2 linked regions of the Danio rerio genome follow. The protein of the gene in region 2 purifies or fractionates together with the protein of the main gene of each other region. This does not show direct contact. Links are inferred from orthologs where the notes say so. Each region holds a gene or a part of one and is shown on either strand. Other genes may lie near its edges. The genes, in order: slc38a9 and lamtor5.

The links.
Region 1: the proteins of lamtor5 (region 2) and slc38a9 purify together in Homo sapiens (co-immunoprecipitation; 5 studies listed by BioGRID and IntAct, with this or other methods). This does not show direct contact. The link is inferred for Danio rerio from reciprocal best matches to the Homo sapiens genes LAMTOR5 and SLC38A9.

What each region holds. Positions count from the first base shown.
Region 1 is NC_133185.1:7,421,469-7,432,273, forward strand, and holds part of slc38a9 (neutral amino acid transporter 9), read left to right. Parts: intron 1-950; coding exon 951-1,080; intron 1,081-3,415; coding exon 3,416-3,534; intron 3,535-4,615; coding exon 4,616-4,679; intron 4,680-4,770; coding exon 4,771-4,864; intron 4,865-6,874; coding exon 6,875-7,045; intron 7,046-7,170; coding exon 7,171-7,227; intron 7,228-10,805.
Region 2 is NC_133183.1:26,631,670-26,642,939, reverse strand, and holds lamtor5 (ragulator complex protein LAMTOR5), read right to left. Parts: upstream 6,570-11,270; 5' UTR 6,444-6,569; coding exon 6,409-6,443; intron 6,319-6,408; coding exon 6,257-6,318; intron 5,631-6,256; coding exon 5,513-5,630; intron 3,071-5,512; coding exon 3,010-3,070; 3' UTR 2,490-3,009; downstream 1-2,489. UniProt on the Homo sapiens protein: As part of the Ragulator complex it is involved in amino acid sensing and activation of mTORC1, a signaling complex promoting cell growth in response to growth factors, energy levels, and amino acids.

The sequences.
Region 1 (10,805 bases), on a different chromosome or scaffold from region 2:
ATAATTAGCATCACTGACAGGATTGAATGAGGTCTGTCTGGTATTTCACATTTACTGTCTAAAATGTGCCGTCATGTGTGGTGTGCTTCAAAACAAAAACACAAGCAGTGCTGCTTAAAGCCATATTTATGGATTATACACCATTACCGTTATGTGCACAAATACACTAATGCATTTCTGCAGAGTTCAGCTCCAGCCTTGTCTGAAATTAGCAAGTGTTTCTGAAGGTGTTAAAGAGACAGTTCACCCAAAAATTTAAATTTTGTCATCATTTACCCCCCCCCACTCCACTTGCTCCTGTTTGGAAGTAATTTTCAAGATGTCGGAAACATTAGTAATCATTGAATGCTATAGTTTTTATTCCAAATGATGGATGTTAAATGTATCCAGGTTCCAACATTCTTCAAAAATTCTTCATCTGGGTTTAACAGAAAAATAAAGAAAATGTATTCAATGCCACCCTAAAGATGCATAAGGCCAGTTTATGTGTCTTTTGTCAGTTTAACATGCATTTTGTTAAAATTTTCCTTGTAAATTTACATTTTTTTTTAACGAACTGTCCCTTTAGTTGGGTTGGAGTTTAACTTATAATTGAATTTGGGACCTCTGCACTCTGCAAAAGGGTTTTTCAGCCTTGTACTGACCTGAAGCCACCAAATTCGATGTGGAGAACTACAGAGTAATGTTTATGAGTAGGGCTGGGCGAATTTACCCACTACATATCAGATCTCACAATGTTATTCATGTTTCTGTCTGCATCCCTTTAATGTTGTGTGATATTGCATTCATGTAAATTATGAAAAAGTATTACTGTAAACAAGTATTTTGAGACACCACAATATAGAGGGTAGGGCATAATATGAAAAGACAGACTTTTTATTTTGTCTATGCAATGTATATTGTCATATTGCATAGCCCTATTGATGGGTGCTGACTTATGTGTCTTTCAGGCCGTTCCATGTGGAGCCCAGAAATATAGTAGGGGAAGATGTTCAGGAGAGAGTGTCAGCTGAAGCTGCGGTGCTAAGCAGCAGAGTTCATTACTACAGCCGTCTGACAGGCTCTTCAGACAGACTACTGGTGGGTCTGCTGTCTGCATTACTATCCAATACAGATGCCAATACTTGTTTTAAATCTGCAGTACTGTACTGTGTGAAGACAAATGAACATGGAAACTTGAGTGAGTGGATTATTAAGGCTGTTGTTGGTTGTAGATGAGTGCAGTCATTAAACGTGTCAAGTTTTAATAGTATATTAGGAGTTTTTACACTTTAAATAATTAACCCAGGGTCAAACCTTATTCTCGATAAAATGACTCCTGATTTATAATGTACTATATACATTTAATCCTGTTTATTCATTTGCAGAGGTTTCACACTACACAATCCTAAACCCTGGGTTAATTGAGGCTGCATTGATTTAAAACTAGCCTAGAGCGCCGTCGACTGTTAAAAACTAGCCTAGAGCGCATCTCCTGTTTAAAATAGCCTAGAGCGTATCTGCTGTTTAAAATAGCCTAGAGCGGCATCTGCTGTTTAAAAACTAGCCTAGAGCGCCGTCGACTGTTAAAATCTAGCCTAGAGGGCATCTCCTGTTTAAAATAGCCTAGAGCGCATCTCCTGTTTAAAATAGCCTAGAGCGTATCTGCTGTTTAAAATAGCCTAGAGCGGCATCTGCTGTTTAAAAACTAGCCTAGAGCGCCGTCGACTGTTAAAATCTAGCCTAGAGGGCATCTCCTGTTTAAAATAGCCTAGAGCGCATCTCCTGTTTAAAATAGCCTAGAGCGTATCTGCTGTTTAAAAACTAGCCTAGAGCGCCATCTGCTGTTTAAAAACTAGCCTAGAGCGCCATCTGCTGTTTTAAAACTAGCCTAGAGTGCATCTCCTGTTTAAAATAGCCTAGAGCGTATCTGCTGTTTAAAAACTAGCCTAGAGCGCCATCTGCTGTTTAAAAACTAGCCTAGAGCGCCATCTGCTGTTAAAAACTTGCCTAGAGCGCATCTGCTGTTAAAAACTAGTCTAGAGCGTCGTCTGCTGTTTAAAACTAGCCTAGAGCGTATCTGTTTAAAAGCTAGCCTAGAGCGCCATCTGCTGTTAAAAACTAGTCTAGAGAGTCTTCTGCTGTTTAAAACTAGCCTAGAGCACCGTCTGCAGTTAAAAACAATTCTAGAGCACCATCAGCTGTTAAAAAACTAGCCTAGAGCTTCATCTGCTGTCAAAAACTAGCTTAGAGTGGCGTCTGCTGTTAAAAATGAACCTAGAGTGCCATCTGCTGTTAAACTAGCTTAAGAGTGCCATCTGCTGTTAAAATATTCCTAGAGCGTCATCTGCTGTTAAAGACAATCCTAGAGTGCTGTCTACTGTTTAAAACGAATCTAGAGCCCCATCTGCTGTAAAAAAACAAGCCTAGAGCCCATCTGCTGTTAAAAACAGTCCTAGAGCATCATCTGCTATTAAAAACAAACCTAGAGCTCCATCTACTTTTAAAAACTAGCCTAGAGCACTGTCGTCTGTTCAAAAACTAGCCTAGTGCGCCATCTGCTTTTAAAACCAGCATAGAGTACCATCTGTTGTTTAAAAACTAGTCTAGAGGTCCATATTGTTGTTGTTGTTGTTGTTGTTGAAAAGTAGCCTATTGATATGAGACACAAGTAAGAAAAGTGATGGATTTTTGAAAATCTCAGAATCAATGCTATTTTTTCCCCAATCCTCAGGCATACACAGATTTGTAGACTTCCTTTACTTCATATTGACAGCTATTAGCCTAGTGTGCAAAATACACTTTTTTTTTTTCGTTTTATGAGTGTATGACGACAGGGTCACTTTGACAATTTTTTATTCTTTTTTTCCCATGAAACATTTTTCAGTTTTTAGTGTATTTGTTGATTTTTAAACACTCTTTCCAAACATACAGAACTATGTATTTTATTTGAAGCATGAACTACAGGTTCTAAGTACAGGTGGAATGACACGAGAGTGAGCAAACGATTACACACACAAAATAATGAGGAACACAAGGATATGATTCATTTGTTAGTTGTTTTGATTATTCATATGGCAATTATTCTGAAGCCAAAATTAGCTGATTGTGAGATCATTCTGCTGTTTGAGGGCTGAAAGTCGAGGATGAAAATCTCTTATAATGCCATTTAACAGTGATTTCTACTGTTTGTATCTGTGTGTAATTAAGTTAGTCCATGGCTTTGATTCCTTTTTTCTTCTGCACTGTTTGGTTTGTGGAGGATGCGCTTTTAAATGCAGATTAACATGGTCTTCAAGCATAAATTCTGCTTTTTGTCAATCATTCAGCACAATGCATTATTTGTTTAGGGACTTGTGAAGTTTATGATCTAGTCCAATAGAGTATTATAGGCTCTGTGATGTAACGGATTTGCTTATGCACCTTATCTCTGCAGGCACCTCCAGACCACGTGATTCCTTCTCATGAGGATATCTATATCTACAGTCCGCTGGGAACAGCGTTCAAAGTGCAGGGAGGAGACAGCCCTATCAAAAACCCCAGCATTGTCACAATGTAAGACCACCCTCAGAGCAGTTTTAGACTGAAATGCAAAATTAAAGCTTTCTAGTCTGCATGTGTGAAAATATAGTCAGTATGAAAAGTTTGTAGATTGATGTGATGATGTTCCCAACACGATCTTATGGCAACTTGTAACCATTTTGCTGCAATTTGTAAAATGTCATTCATGTTTATTTGACTTGCTTAGAAGAAATAAGTCAAGCTTTAATAATGGGCGTATTATCTTCCTATTATTTTAATATTGGCTGTTTATTTGTAGTTGTAAAACATATTCTGCATAATATTATTCCTACCCAATACTTAAACCCAATACCTGTTAATAAGCAGCAGATTAGGAGTTTCAGGCAAAAACTGTTAATGCTTTGGTAACAGTGAGAATTTAACCTTTAAAATAAAGTATGACTTAATTTATATACATACATACACACACACACACACACACACACACACACACGCACACACACACACGTTATATGGGCCATTTATATGGATAAAGAAAATTAATAAAAAGTTTTTTTCCTATTGAAAAAACAAAAATTGGATCCAAGATGGCCGACTTCAAAATGGTCACCATGGTCACCATCCATCATGAAAAGTTTGCCCCCTCACATGTACTAATGTGCCACAAACAGGATGTTAATAACAGCAATCATTCCCAGTTTATGTTATTCCTTATTTATATGTGTATCCATATAAATGGCCCACCCTGTATGTATGCGTGTGTGTGTGTGTGTGTGTGTGTGTGTGTGTGTGTGTGTGTGTGTGTGTGTGTGTGTGTGTGTGTGTGTGTGTGTGTGTGTGTGTGTATGTGTATATATTTATATAATTATTTTTTAATCGTTTAACTGATTTCATTTATGGATTCAAAAGGCACCTTTTTGTTTAATGATGAATCTGTTATTATGAGCATCCCTGGGCCACTGCCTCGCCTATATATATATATAATTTTTTTTTCTTCAAAGTGTTACATAATTTTAAATCCTACAAATTATTTAGTCAAGAGAGATTGCATTTGTCATTTCCATGTTAAAGTTATTAAACCTTTGTTTAAATGAGTGCTTGTGTGTGTATACAGCTTTGCCATATGGAACACCATGATGGGAACATCTATATTAAGTATACCATGGGGAATAAAACAAGTAGGTGTATATTTCTCTCCTATATTTCCTTTGGTCATTGCCAGTTATACAATAAAGGTAATTTATTATAATTTATTTGTTCTCTTTCTAGGCTGGTTTTACATTGGGCATTATCATTATTGTTCTTATGGGCCTGTTGACGCTCTATTGCTGCTACAGAGTGTTGAAGTCCACAAAATCAATTCGTAAGCCAATTGCAACCATGCTTGTACATTTTTCGCACAATACATGAGTGATTCAGTGTAGCTCTTAAACACGTTCATTTATAATGTTAACATTCCCAGTTTAGCTGATATTTATTTATTTTTATTTTTTGTTTTGTTTTTTTTGACGGAGATAGTATTGTTTTGTTAGATGAACAGTGTGACCCAGGTTCAAATCCAGTGTTTCTTCTTACTTTTTTTTTTTAAGTCAAACAAATGTCATTTACACATTTCTGTCGTCTTTAGTAAGACCAGCTTATGAGTCGTGAGGGATAAGTCTATATGCCTGCAAGTTCCATCATGGACACAGAACCACATTTAATATTTTTTGTCACAAAGTACAGTGAAAAGCAGCCCATACAGTCACATCTTTTATACGTGTTAAGGAGGAGTGTAAATATTACAGTTATGACAGAGTTAAATGTGTTTAGATGAAGAAAAAAACTTCGAAAAATCACTTGATCACGTTAAAATGACAGGTAATATGTGTGTATGTTTACTAATTTATTCACACATTTGCATTAATCAGAGCAGAAAAGAGACAAGCTGCCCTGTAAGCAGTATCTTAATAAAATTGTTTAATTAAAATAAATGATCAACAAATGAATCTGACGTGACGGTCTCTACAAGTGAATTCCCAATAAGAAAAATACTACAAACTATTCATTAAAGAAACAAAACAAATGCAATTGTCTAATGCAAGCGGGCTGCGTTTCAGACCAGTTCAGCTCAATAGTGTATAATGTCTCCAACATCTCCTGAAGTCCCATTTCACAACTTGATAACAACCGTCTTTTTAAAGAAGCGTCCCGATTTAAAAATAAATAAATAAATAAATCAAGACTGTGATGCAACTGATGTGTTATGTCGTAGAATAAAATGTGAAAGTATCTTAAGTTTGTGTTAGCCACCAACCTCATTTAAGAGATTTTTAATCAAAATCCCATTGAAAAAAAAAAACATCGACTTTGGGACGAGGCAACCAGAACTGCTAGAATGCTAACTCGCTTCCGGATTTTTGCCTACAAATTGACGTCATAGTTCCTCCACTCTATTGTGGTTGTGTATTACTCTTGAGGGGTTTGTTTACCTCTGCAATCCTTTCTACTTTATCTGATTTGATAAGGACATTTCTAAGGCCTCTGAATAATCAACATGATCAAAGGAAAGAAACCGGTTTTAAACCTGTTTAAAGTTTTTTCTATGAAGCTTATGCTTAAAAATAAATGTTAACAGAGTCATCATAATCAATTTTACCAATTCTACTAATGTATCTATAAAGACACAACAAACAATGTCTCTCTCTCTCTCTCTCTCTCTCTATTTTTTTTGTTTTACTTTAACTGTACACACACATTAACATACTGTTAAAACAGATTTATAAGCCTCCCCCCTGTTTATTTTATCCTCAATTTCTGTTTAACGAAGAGATTCCTTCAGCACTTTTCTACACATAATAGTTTTAATAACTCATTTCTTATAACTGATTTATTTTATCTTTGCCATGATGACAGTAAATAATATTTGACTAGATATTTTTCAAGACACTTCTATACAGCTTAAAGTGACATTTAAAGGCTTAACTAGGTTAATTAGGTTAACTAGACAGGTTAGGGTAATTAAGCAAGTTATTTTATAATGATGGTTTGTTCTGTTGACTATCGAAAAAATATATTGCTTAATGGGGCTAATAATATTGACTTTACAATTGTTTTTAAAAAATTTACAGCTGCTTTTATTCTAGCCAAAATAAACCAAATAATACTTTTTTTAGAAGAAAAAAATATTATCAGAAAAATTGTGAAAATGTCTTTGCTCTGTTAAACATAATTTGGGAAATATTTAAAAAAGCAAAAAAATAAAATAAAAAATTCAAAGGGGGCTTATAATTCTGACTTTAACTGTATGTCATTTTTGCTTGTCTTTTTTTCATATGTCATGCCAGAGTTAACATGAAGTTTTTTTTAAATATGAAACTCTGTGTCTTTGCAGCTTATGTAGATACCTCAGACTGGGAGTTTCCTGATGTGTGTAAATATTACTTTGGGGGTTTCGGAAAATGGTCCAGTCTCGTCTTCTCGTTGGTGTCACTGATTGGTGCAATGGTGGTCTACTGGGTGCTCATGTCTAACTTCCTGTTCAATACGGGAAAATTCATTTTCAGTACGTGACTGTTTTTCCTGCCCTTTCTCATTTGTTTTACTGCCAATTAGAATTCTAATATTGTTTTTCTGAATAACCTTTTAATTGTTTTTCTGAATAACCTTTTATATATTTTGCATTTACAGACTATGTTCACAATGTCAACACATCAGATGCATTTGGCACAAATGGAACTGAGAGAGGTGAGCAGTCATTATTATTATTATCATTATTAGTATAAAATAGTCTGAAGTTGTAAGCATAATCATTTACATTACATGGTCAAAGATACTCAACACAATCCAAATGGCTTGATTTATTAATTGCTCTGACTTGAGGCTGATTTATACTTCTGCATCAAGAGCACGTGTATGCTACGGCGTTAATGCATAGCCCTACGCCGTGGCCGTTGGCGTCGCTGACGTGCACCTTTCAAAAAGTGTAATTACACATCGCAACGAGGCGTAGTGTAAGCTCTGTGATTGGTCGGCTTGGTAGCGCTGATGAGTCTGGGCGGGACCGAGAGTCGCGCGAATGGCGCGACCCTGATGGAGAAATTGTTTACAAGTGTGGAGTTCCGTGAAGGAGCTCCGGATGGAAAGTTTTGTTTTGTGTTTATATCATAGTTAAAGTTGTTGCACGTCCGCCGCTTCCTGCCTCAAAATGAGCGAGTTTGAGCCACTTGTGCATCCAGGAAGTGTTCAAGAAAAGCAAAACATCAGAGAAGAAACTCGACACAGAGGAACATTTACACCTCACTGCCAACTAGTGTTTCGGAAGTGTTAATGTAGACCAACAGAGACAGCGCGCAGAAGTATAAACGCTCAGCTACGCGCGTTGTATGCGCCGTGGGTCACGCCGGTCACTTGACGCAGAAGTATAAACCAGGCTTTATGCTGTAAAACGAAAAGACAGAAACAAATATTAATAGTATACAGTGTATCTCAATTAAAGAAAAATATGACAGAATATTTCATAAATTATACAAATTATAGCCAAAAGAACCATTGGTGAAATCATGGGAGTTGCCATCTTTATTAAGTCCATTTGAAGTCCTGCAGAAGTCGTGTTCATGGATATGCTGAAGTATTGAAAACTTACTGTATCTTTCAGACTGTCATGGTAGTATAAAGTAGATGATAAATTAAATTGAAACAAGAGTGCTGAAGGAATTGGAGCTAACAGATGAGCGTGACGCAGAACGAAAGCAGTGAAGCTTTTATTATGACACTATTTACTGTTTTCAGTTCTTCTGTTCATGATCACGTGGACAAGAAGCTGCACTGTTTTATTATACTAAATACATTTTAGGGTTCTGTTATAAAGCTGCTGTGCACGGTCAAATAAAAAACAAAACTTATTAAAGCAATTTGGTGATTTCCTGTTATCTATGAAAGAACTGAAAATTAGAGTGGCACCAATTAAACTCTTTAGGGTTAAATAATCAAAATGCAAAAAAATGCTTTTCTTTGCATCGTCTCGTTTCTAGTCTAAATAGCTCAAATTCTTGAATCAAGTAAAAATATTAGTTTGTTTTCACTTTCAGAAGAAATAAGTCAAAATTAAGAGTTTTTATTCCCTTAAAATAAGCTAAATGAGATCATTTAGCTTATTTTAAGGAATGGGGCAAGTAAAATATTTTGTTCTCATTTTGAAATGTAAATATTTGGACTGGGAACAAGACTAAAATATGAATTTTTTTCTTAATAAATTTGATAAATTCTGTTTAAATAATAAAATGCTATTAATCTTAGTTTTATCACATTATAGTTTTTTGTGCTCAAATGTTTTATACTCTGTTGAAATGCTCAGTCACAGGCCTTAAAAACACATGCACATACGATTAAACATAGCAGGGACTCAACGAAATTCTGAGGGTAAGTATAGATACCGTCAACGCCTGTAATGTAATTTACAATAAAATGTCAGACTTTCAGACATCTTTGCTTAGGGAAAAAATAAAGTATTATTTTTCTTAACACCAAAATGTAATTTTTTGTTTAAATGCCCCTGTGGCTTTGCACATACAACATAGGTAAAACAAAGCATTGTCTAAAAACTTGTATTGCAGAACACCCAAATAACACTGCTCAATTGCCAAAGAAATCCCATTGCTGCTTCCTTCAATGCTGTTAAACATAATATATTGACTCCGCATTATATTGGTATTGAGTGTGTTAAAGCACAAGACTAGAACTAGAAGAGGTGTTGATATTGATACTTCGATTTCAAAGGGAAGCGTTTTACATTTATACTTTACTGTCATCAAAAGGTTTAAATTAGAAATTAGATTTGAAATTTTTATATTTATTATATATTTATATATTATGTTTTATTTAGCATTTTATTGGTTGATTAATTGATTAGGTTAATTAATGGTTTCAGGTGTGATGTTGGTGAAATGATGAAACTGGAGTAGCGTAGCATCCATTAGATGCATACTTCAGAATCTAACCGGAAGTAGTAGGTCATCCGGGTACTTCTCACAAACAGTTTTTTTGAAAACTATATATTTCGACATACTACTCAGCTTGCATATTCTTTTAATGTGCATAGTTTTTAATGTATTTTAATATGGAAGTATGCGATTTCAGACACACTCAGGGCTATTCAATTGGTTTTTCATGGGCGCCGGTTCATGAAAAGCATCCCAAACGAAGGGCCGGAGAGATATGACTTGCTATATGAGTGATAACACAACAGCATATAAGAGCCCATATGCTGTATTTTTCCTTAAGACACCCATATTGTATTTTTCTACATTGAAACGTTAATATGTTGTATGTTGTATTTTGAAACTACATAATATCAGTGCATTGTACAATAGACTTTTTTTTTTCCTTTTTTTTTTTTTTTTTTTTACAAACATTCTAATGTTGTATTTCAGAGCACAACTAAATCAGCGCATCATAGGCTTCTTCTACATTCAGACACATTCATATTTTATTTTTTTGAACTGCATAACAATTAGGGATGCAACAATTATAGATTTGGTTGTACAATTATATATTCTGAAGAATAATTATGGTTTCATGGTTATCACGTATAATGTAAATTCAAGTTTTATATTGGGTAAGTAGCTATTTAGATTAACTGTTGTTGCCATCTGCGTTCATGCATATCATTTTAATAATAATTCGTCAAATATATCTTTTGTTTACATTGCACTGAAAGGCACGCACAACTCTCACCATGAGATGTTTTCTACTGCGTGCACCCGGAAAGATGCAAGCGCATTGCTCTGCTTGATCACGCATACATTATTTTAGAAATAACACACTTCCAAGCAGAAAAGACGTGATATGGGAACGGCCACTGCTATAGTTAATCCGGTGTGCGTGTGTATTAGCCTCATTGTTATTGGAACTTCAAACTAGCGCACCAGTTGGCAACTTGGCATAACTTTTGTTTAATTGCAGCAGTTTTTTACCCTGCAACAGAAAAGTGGCTTAGGCCATACTCACACTACGTACAGTTGCCTCGAACCGGGCCAAAGCATGCTTGTCCCGCTACTGCGCTGTTCAGTGAGAAGCGCTCTCAGTCAGCAGCACAGTGGAGATTTCTCTAGTTAAATAATTTCAGTGGTTTGTTATGCAGTGACATGCAGTCAAATATTTCGCCAAACAGTCCTTAGGGATGCGGTCACATGCAGTCAGATATTTCGCCGAATAGATCCGCCACTTTTGGCACTCATAATCATAATGCTCTCGTGCTGCAGGAGGAGGTCTGCTGAAGGCGCGCAGCTGTCGTGCAGTGAGGAGTTTGCGTCTTTAATAATCTA
Region 2 (11,270 bases):
AAATGATGACTAAGCAAATACAGCCTTGTTATTGTGACATTATACAGTGAAAGGAAATCTTTTGACCTTTTCATTGATTCACTGTAATGTTTTCTGAGCACACATTCACAGAAATTCATTTCCACACACCAGTTTCTTCAAATCATTTAGATTGTACCAAACAACAGTCTAACATAGCATGTCTTAACTGAGAAAGTGTCTTCATTTGTAAATGATTACTCTCTTACCATACATTAGCCACTGTCTGTCACAAATAAAAGACTCCATTACTCTAAAAACTTTTATCTGCACCGGCGTTTGTGTGGGTTTGCGGTGTTGAAATTGGGAACGCACCGTTCAGGACATCCCACAACGTGCTCTTTCCTCCCCATCCTCAACTCAACCAACCTAAACACGCGACAATTAGCCGTGCGGTTGTGTCGTTAAACGTCTAAAACTCAGGCTTAGTTCGTAATCCAATATCACGACACAAAAAAGTGGGGAAAATTACTAGGGTGCTGCACTTATGCACTTACCCAAACGCCAGAGCCGATGCTGTCGCGCGCTGTCAGCCCAGCAGCCGCATAGCGCTCGTGTGTGGATCTCGCGACCCCAGCGGCGTTCATGTGAATGCGCGCTACTGGAATGCAGCACTTTACACCTATCAATAACAGTCGACAGAAAAACACCGTCAATTAAAGCTCTTGTATTACCTGATTCGTGTTTTGAAGTGTAACCGGTTTTATTTTTCTGTTAAGTTCTGTTTGGGTGAAACATAAAGAAAACTTTAATCGTATTTAAAAGCTTCCATCTAGCCTACACGTTGTTGCATGTCATTGAATTAAACTAAACTATTAAAAAGCATTACAAACAACACACTTTTCAAGCTTACTGTGATTCAGCTATTAAACTAGTTTTAAAAGTAAACACATCTGACAGGCTAGTAAATAAGCAGAATACAAATTTAATTCACACAAAAGTTTCAAAGAACTGTTATCTTGAGAAAGCAGTGATTAATCGATATATTTATTTTATTTAACTTCAACTTCAAGCTTTTAAAAGTTTAAACTTTGTTTTTGTCATCCATTTTCCAACAATTATTTTTTAAATCAGCTTTTAAAATTAACATCCAACAAAAAAAAAAACAGTAGTTTGTGAAAGAAATGACAAGCTTAGTCTGGAAAAAATAATATAAGCTACAAAATTAATACTACAACGCAAAATTGTCTGCAAACGAGCAAATTAATTATGTAAATATTCGAACATTTCATAAACGTAAACATTAGGGTGGAGACGAGACTTACCATATTTCTCGAAACACTAAAAGTCAAGTCAGTTTATTCCAGATTTCACTTGTTAAGACTTGATTTGGTGTGGATGATTCCTCATGCGCGCTCCGGCACTTGAGCTGCGGGCAACATCCTTGGATTTCCCGATGACAGCTCCTCCTCTGAGGCGGCAAGTCTTATCAAAGTCATTCGTGAACATGGCTGGACTCCCTGCGTTTGATTTCTTATGTTTTCTGAAAATTTGGCCCCCAGTCTGAGTGTCTCGGGGGGGTCACTTCAGACCCCTGGGACCGGCACAGATTGGATGCAATGCGCTCAGGTTGTGCAGAGCCAACGACCTGCCGCTAGTGCACTTATTGACCATGTGACCGGAACCTACAAGCCAAGTATTGAAGTGGAACTAATTTCAGAGGTTTTCCTGGACTGTGGCTATTCGAAAGAGGTAAAAAGCACCAAGCTTTGTTGCTTCAAGGTCAAATTATGAATGTTTAGGTATTCAGGTAGTATCTCTAATGTTTGACAAATCCCTAAAGGCACTAATAAAAACGTGTGTTTTAATTAAAGTGCACACAAACTGCACTCGTTTTGCTTGAGGAAAAAACTAATCGACTGTTTAGAGCTGCTATTCATAAATTTTGTAAGCTTGAACATTTGTTAATGGCATTTCAATATGCAAAAATATCAAGTTAAACATTTACTACAATGGTGATTATGTTGCATCCCCATGCTCTCAGTACTATTTTGGTACTTTATTTTTACACATTCAGATCATACAAAACATTTCAATGCATTCAAGATACAATATATCAAAATAATTGAGGGGGAAACAATTTCTTCTTTTGGCATTCATGCTGCGTACTTGGTGTAATTTTTGGAAAAATTAAGACTTGGTTGATTAACTATATTGACCCTAGAGTGAAAATGATGAACCTTTTACAGTCAAGATCTGAGCTAAGGTATTTTGCTGTTAACTGTTATCCAGAGTCATCACATGCATTCAGAAGAACACTTTATGACAGGTCTGAGTGACTGATAAAAAATTCAGGAACCCCGAGTTCCCTCAAATTTTCCTCATATGCTTTATTGCAGAACGAGTTATCCAAGGCAAACAAGTGACACACACAAAAATAATTGCCTGCATCTATTTGCACACAACAAACCAATGCAATCTAAAATATAATACAATATAAATATAATATAATTTGAATTTGTTATTCATTAAAAAAAATTGCTTTACTAGTTTACATTACACAGCTTTTATTATTGGTAGTTACTGACCAAGATGATGATGATAATTAATTTGAAGGGTTGATCTGTCTCGACATTTGATTTTTAATTGTTATTCATGTATATAAACTGTTACTCACCATAGATACTCTTAAAGGTGATTCAATTACAATTGCTGCCCCCTTTTGAACACACTGTGTTACTTCAACTAAAACTCTCTTAACTGTGCAACCACAGAGACTCAACCACGTGAATTTCCTTAATGCATTTATTCACTGTTTGAACAAAAAAGCAGTGAAGACATTTAAAGTGTGCTTTATGGTTGAAAGAAAGTAATAATATAGGAAAATAAATTAGATTAAACACTGACAACAAACATCTGACGATTTCTGATATGATGGAAGACAAGATTTCACACACCCATAGAGCTTCTATGTTTCGACAATTGACAGCAGAAGCTTATCAAACGCATACTAATGATCTTTAAAATTGAAAAAACTTAGACCAACAGATTTCACGATGCCATCTTATGCACAGCCAGTGTAATTGTTCCATGTCTTCTCACCAAGATGTTCCTGCAATGACAGAATGACATAGAATTCCCATTTAATACTTAAGATTAAAATTAGCTGCTGTTTGATTTGAGATTATCACCTGGTTAGCAAAACTACAATTAAAACACATCTTGAGATACCAAAAGCATTCACTACACAGTGAAGCCTGTCAGAATGCATTTAGATTGACTCAATATGCTGTTATGAAAGCCAAAAATATTGTTCTGTTTTTTTTTATTATAACAAACGAGTTGCTTGGGTAATAGCACACAAGTCACAGTGCCATTTACCTAAATGTCAGTGCATAGGCATGATCACAAATAGATATTGATTTTTGTGTACAAAGCTAAAATTAAGTTACATTTCAGACATAACATAATACTGCCTGCTTTTCTTGCCCTTTCACCAGCAAAAGTAGTTATATACAAAGCCAGAGCAAAACAGAGGGGTATTCCAGAAAGCAAGGCTAACTTACAATCACATATACCCAGAACTCTAAATAGATAAGGGGAGTGCGGGGCACAAAGTAACGTGGGGTAAAATGTAACAATTTTAAGGTTTTTGCTCAGGGTTAACCATGGCATGCTTCCAAAATTTTCACCACAGCGTCGGCAGACATCTTCCTGCCAATTATTGAAAAAGTTTGTTGAAAATTGGACGAGAAACACAGAAACCATTTTTCCAGCAGTTTGCAGTATTTTTTATTACAGCAAATTTGTTTTACTTAAAAAAACATCTGTGAAAGCATGTACGAAAAAATCTTATATTGCTGTGATTACCATCTTCTAGGCTAAAAGATGAAACCATTTTGAAAGATGTAAAAAGACAGTGACTGCTAGTCAGTTTTGAAGAAAACACGACACAGCAGGGTTAGTTGTAACAGGGTGTTACAATTAAGCCACACACTGTTGGACACCAATTAAACTAACTGAATATTTTTATTTTTTATTTTTGATAATGTAATGTTGAGAACTTTTTAAATAAACATGATTTTTTTATAGAAAATATATATTTTTTAATAGAAAAAATTAGTTTTATTGCTAATAATGCAAATAAACGCATTTTATAATAATGCAAAAAAAAAATCCAAATGTGTTCATTAAGTGGATAAATAAGTAAATAAACATGCTGTGCTATGTATAACACAAAATAAATTGAGCCAAGTACTGAGGAAATATAGCTACTATTTAAAGTAAACAGAAATTAAATTAACTGTGTGGAATCTGCCTTTGTAAGCATGCGTTACAACTTACCCTCTGTTTGTTACAACGTGCCCCACTGCTGGGGCAAATAGTAACATTTTTGCTCCTGGCACTTTTGGCAATACTGCACAGAAACTGTAGGAGACAGTTTGTGTGTTGTTGGTACAAAAAATGGTTTGTCTAAGCCCATTACTTTGTTCATTATTTGGCCAAAACCAAAAAGTGTTACTTTGTGCCCTGCTCTTCCCTATCCCAGGTCAGACGGTGCTTACTCCAGGTATATCAGTTTCTAAAAATCACAGCTGGTGGCAAGTTCAGTCAACTTAAGAATCTGCCAACCATAAACACACAAGACATTCTCAAAAGAATAGCAATTCCACAAGTCATGGGTGAGAAATTAATGCTAAAAAAAAAAAAAAAAAGAGCGCCTTTTATTTTTTCGTTGTTCTTGTTTAATGGCAAGTTACATTCTTTTAGCATATTGCCAACAAATTTGTGGCTGTGCAGACATTTTTAAAACCGTTTAGTTAAATGTTCAATCTTTATTAACTACTGTGTACAGGAATTATAATGTTAAAATCAATTGATTTACTTTGTTTAAACCCATCCGCATTAACTTTAAAAAAAGATGAATTACATCTATTAATTAGTAATACATATGCCATGCATTATATTGAAATGGTTCCATTGCTTTCATTACTTTTGATTGAATATCCATAATGATAGTGGCAAAAAATTAACCATTACTTAAAAACATTTACTTGATAATAGTGCTTTTTTTAAAATAATAAACCCCCAAAAACTCATAAGAAATCATATGCCTCTCTATAATTATATCCATACTACAAATATCAATGATTCAATGAATCACTCATTAAGACTTGCCGCCATCTATTGGTGGTTTTGAGTGATATTGATCCAAGACAGTTCTAAAGCAACCAAATGACCAGCACAAAATATTAATCCTTGATGAATTAAAATGAATGGAATACTTTCTGAGAAAGTCACACGCCAATTTGATAGTTTCAATACTTATTACACGTCACTATATATACACTTTAGTGACAACTGGTGTGTGTGGAAGAGGGAAGGTATAATGGGATGAATGACTTTCAAAGATTGTTGTTTAACTGACTTTCCCTCATTTAACTTTCTTAATTAATGTCATCGATTTCTGCAGATTGTTTTGTTGTCTCTCAAATCAAAAAATTCTCAAGATACATAGAAATAAGACAGATGCTGGTCAAGAAGCTTTCCTTACCCACAGTCAGACTCCAGGCACACTGTAGGACAGTCGGTGGCATCTTTGGTTAGAGAAGCAGCCTGCTTGGCCAGTACAGATACAACTCCTCCATGTTCATCAGATAGTGAGCCCCGGCCTGGAGATTAAAATATTTGTAATGTCATTGAGAATTACAGTATATTTTCAAGTTCTGGAAACCAAATGGAAAAGAGTCAACTGAGAATCTATATAAAGCACAATTCTATAACCCTATATTTTGTTGAAAAGTTTTAAATTGTATATTGTTTTGCACATGGTAATACACTGAAAAAGCAGGCTTAAAATGCTCAAGTTGAATTAATTTATCAGATTAATATTTTTAATACTACACATGCCATTATAGATTTTACTACTCAAACTATATCTATACATCATTTAATTTTACTTTACATTTTTTTTGCATAATTACATTTGAATAGGCTTGTATTTTCTCCCAGTTAACCATGTTTTTTTGTTTACCATTGTTTCAGTTAACTTTAAGTTGGTCAATAACACAGTTATAAAGTTGTCCACAGTAGACACCCGTTCCCTGTTTTGAGAAACAAATCAAACTAATAAAAATTCAAAACGTTTTACATACCTTCAACACATGTGTAAATATTAAAAGCAATATTAACCTCTTGTTGCAAGTGAAAACCCAGTACATGTAAACCAAGCAAATCATGGTCACCAGAGGAAAACTATACTAAGGGAAGTATTAAGGAAAATATAAAAATTACTTACACCCTAGATTATGTCCTTGAGCGTCTGTGCACAAAACCCCAACAATAGCTGGATTTTTCATCCTAGAGTGAGAAAGGAGATCAGTAAATGAAGACGCAAAACGAGTAACGTTACATGCGTAAGAAAAGAAAGTGGTTTCTTTTTAAACATACGTATCGTCAAGATGCTGCTCCAGTGCACCCTCCATAACAGCGTCCTAAATAAGGCTATTAAACTAATAAGAAACACGAAATGTTCAGAAACTGGCAGCGATGTTTGTTACTTGGATAACTTCCGGGATGTCAGCTGACAGTTTAACACGCGACTTAACACTACGGCGCCCTCTAAGGGACAACAAGCAAATAGGATCTAGCGCCATCTTACTCAAGTCAGGATGGTAGGTAAATGGTCCTCTTTTGTTTGCTGCTAAACCTCGACAAGTAGTCAGTCATACAATATAATTTTTTGGGTTAAACATTTTAATTAAACTAAAATGAACACACAAGACATTCTCAAAAGAATACCAATTATACCACAAGTCCCACAGGAGAAATAAATGCTAAGTAGAAGAGTGACTATTTCTGAACCAAAATGAAAAGCTTGAATTTATTAATATGCAGCTGTTGGAATAAATGAATGTTCCTGCAGCACTGCTATTGACTGATCACCTATAATTCAGAGTCTAGATCTTCTATATCCTCGTTTTTATGTTGAACAAATAATAAATTCTTTACAAACCATTCAATGCTCTAAAAAGCAAGTAGGCTACATGTGGTTAACATTTAGCTGGCATTGTCAATGAGAACTCCCAGAGGAACGTGTGAATCTTCGGTGTTGGTATCTCTCTAAATGACCTTGTCCCCTGACCAGACGCACAATAAAAGACCACCGTCAATTGTGTCTGAGCTCAAGCTCTTTATCAGACAGTCTTTTCCATTTTTAACTCAAGATATTGAAGCACTCTCTTTTATAGTTTGTGAGGTTGGTTTAAGAGCCGGGTTTGACATGAGACACATTTTTTCTCTGTCACATCCATTAACTATATGTTTGCTTAACTATATGCGAAGCATATTATAAAATATACTATTACACAAGTTGTGCAAAGTGCAAAGCATGAATCAGGTTAGCAAAGTCAATATACATGCAAATAAGCTGGCAGAATAATAGCTGCCTGTTTCTGCCTCTCTAGAGCCCATCAGAACAGTTTAATCTTTCCTGACTGGATGCAGCCTTATATTTGATGAATATCATTTTTATAGGGTTAATTTAATTCCTTAACTTCTGTCTATTGATGATCGATTTATTTTTATAAATATAGTTTCATTACAATATTATTATTTTTGCGTGTGGGTATATATATACATTTAAATATATATGGATTTTTAGACTACTGATTTTTGTGCAGTTTAAGTCTTTTAATAAGATATTTTGCTTAATTTATTTTACAGTTTTCCTTGGATTGCTTTCATGCAGCCGTCAACTGAAACTCCACATTTTTAAAACAGTTAAAACACAGGCCTAAACAGCGGCACTCATGGTCAAAATAACACATTTTGGTTGCAAAATGCACATGCCGTGTCAAAACATTTAAAATATGCAACAAAAGCTATTTTAACCTTCAAACAACACAACTTGCTAACAAGTATATGAGCTCTTTCAATTAACCATTACACAATGAACAACAAAATACAAAATACAGACCTCAGTGTGAATCAGTGCACCATTGCTTGCCATTGTAACCTATTGCCAATGCCATTTGTTGTCTTTTTATTTGGGCTGCCTTTTTGCAAAGAATTGGATCCAGAATAAGAAATGCCTTTATTAAATTTATGTTGAATTCATGACATTTTTTCAAACTGTGGCTTAAAACTGAAATACTGTTAAAAAAACAGACAAAAGTAATAAAATACTGTAAATATTAGAGAAAACATGTAAACCAATATACAGTCAAATCTATTGTGAGTAGGACATAGCCACTATTGACCTCCTCCATCCATGCAGGCACAGAACAACACAGACCTTCTACCATTTTTAATGTTTGCAGACTGATTGCTAAATGAAGATTTGTGTGAAGGTGTGTCAAACCGGTGCTTTCAGTGAATTCATACTGATCTTGGTAGTTTCTAATGGTTAGGAATAGATGGTTTCTGTTTGGTTACCATAGCTAAAACAATGGAGTTTGGAATGCTTGAATGACATCCGTGTTAACTTTTTTGAAAAATGGTGCGGAAAATGTGTCAACCCAATGAGAAAGGGTTTAAACATTTGCAAGACCTGTCTTCTGCACTTGCTGGGATAGTGATAATGATAATGAAAATGAAGTAGAACCTAGTTTCTTTAACCAGGTCAAAGCAAACAAGAAAAACTGTAATTGAAAATGTTTTTAAAAATACTGTATATACATATATTGGATCATTTTTTTCAAGCATCTACATGAGAACAAATATTATCTATAGAGCTGTAAAAAGGTTTTGTGTCTCTCTGACACACACAGTAACACATAGGCTCTTGATATTGGTGGAGACGTACATCCCTAGAGCCAATGTATTAAACAGCACAAATTCTGTTTCATGCTTTTAAAAACATTTAAACACCTAATAATACAAATAACAATAATAATAATTCTATGCTGCAAAAGTCAATTGACATGATTTTACTGTAATCTGGTTTGAGGAGGTATGAATGTACAGAAATTTAGAGAGGCATGTGACAAAATGTAACAATTTTATTCCTATTATCTGTATGAATTTAACTCTTTAAGCACATTTAGGTTACTAAGGCTTGACAGAGCATTATTTTATTTTGAAGGCTATTAAATTATTGGTGGGGACATTTCAGTAATTGGTGAGGCAATGTCCCCTCTGTCCATGCCAATTCTACGCTCTTGATAGTTGGACAGACCAGTATTATGCGCACAAATTGAACTTTTTCCTTTTAGTTCTGAAGATGTGTTTGAATAAATAAAGTATTGAATAAAATGATAATTATGATATAAAGGCTAATATATATATTATTCTTTTATTTGAAATTTATTGCATGTGGAGTCATTGTTTCAGTCAAACAACTCTATTATATCTACCAATAGTGGAGTTTACTGCAGTTTATACTATTTCTATACTTTATTTTTTATGTTAATTATGAAGTCAATTATTAAGTGAATATAAAGCCATATATCATCATTTCATTTTACATAAAAGACATGCTCTGATTGATTTCATTTCATTATTTTCATCTTTTGGCTCAGTTTTCGTACTGCATTTGTTATGAAGTTACGTTTAACAGCTTTCAAGCTCTTTTAGCCAACTTAGGTTCTTTGCTCATGGCAAGGCTTGATGATTTCTGCCCAGTCCTGTGCAGTTAGAGCCAAGCTGGTTTGCTGACAAGGCAAAAAGTTGCAATGTAATTATGTGGCCCAGGCGTCAGTGAGATCAATCACTTTCACTGCAGCCGAGTAATGCTCTGCTGACTAACCAATGGCATTTTCATGCTCCCGCTAAACGTAAATCAAATCCCAACAGCTAGGACTGACATTCACCAGTCTGCTATCCCTCACACCAATTGCCTTCAAGTTGGATATTTTATTTAGCTATAATTTCAAGTAAGCTCATTGATTCTGTATAGCTGTGTTTCATCACGTAGCTCACGTATCCCAGAGCTTTAATGGTCAGCAGTTCAAATGGGCCACATCCACGTTTATTTTTTTGTTTTCTGATCAGTGGTCAGAAATTATATAGTGATAAATTATTTTATTTGCCATTCATTATGAATTTGTTAGTGTGTTAATGTTATTTTTAAGCTAGTATGCTCCAAAACAAAATTAATATTTCCATTTCCATAAGTATATGCATTCAAAAATGAGTCTCTGGATTTATGCACATCCCTCGTACTTCAGCTTTACATCAGATTTCTAATCAAATGGTCTAGTTGCGACTGAAACTGGTTTCTTGTTTAAACATATTAATCTTGTGTCATTGCTGAAAAGTCTCAACCAAACAGTGTATGATTGTGGATTCAAATGATTTAGTCAGAGCAAGTCTCTAGTTTATGCGAATGATTTGAAAATGTACCTAAACTGTGGCAAAATCGAAAAGGAGTACTTAATACTTTTAATTGAGAGATATTTTCTAAAGATATCTGTACCTTTACTCAAGTACTTCACATATGTACTTGTCTTGCAGTGGTGGAAAGAGTACTAAAAAATCATCAAACTCAAGTAAAAGTACCATTACTTGCATAAAAATATAGTTCAAGTAGAGTAAAAGCATCTGTTGTAAATATTACTCAAAGTATGAGTGAAAAGCCCTTTCAAAAGTACTCAAGAGTAGTGAGTAGTGAGTTTTACACTGTAAAAGGTTGATGCGTTTACATGTAATTTGTAGATGTGTGTAAACGTAACATTCTGTAGTGCATTAAGTGATTGCCCAGCAAGCACACAACGTCATAAGACATTAATATTAGGTTAGATTTAGGTTGTGATGTCAGGTGACCAAATTCAACGTCCAGTCAGTGTCTAAGGACGTTATTTTGATTCCAATAATGACGTTGATATTTGGTCAATTTTAGGTTGTTAGAAAGTGACCAAAATTCAACGTCGAGCCACCATCTTACACCAGAATCATATTGACGTCTAATACTGCTATTTATTCATCAGCTATGGCAACCAAAATCCAACGTCTGATAGAGTGGTAATGTCCACACAACGTCAAGCTTTAACATCATTAGACGTTGATATTTGGTTGGACATTGATGTTGGCCTGACATTGAGTTGTGACATCAACCCGATTTTATTTCCAAACAAAATGTAACGTCCCCACGACATTAGAATACAACGCCAATCTGATGTCATGTTGACGTCCTGTGCCTGCTGGGTGGTTAAGGCCATTTCGGTCATCATACAGTAAACATCCATCTCTGGGTCATTGTATGTAAAGATTTTGGTCATCTACTTGAACACTTTAAATGCTTCCAAACAGTTTGCTGCATTTATAAATCACCCATGTCTTAAGGTAATTCATTATGATGTGATTTACCTTCT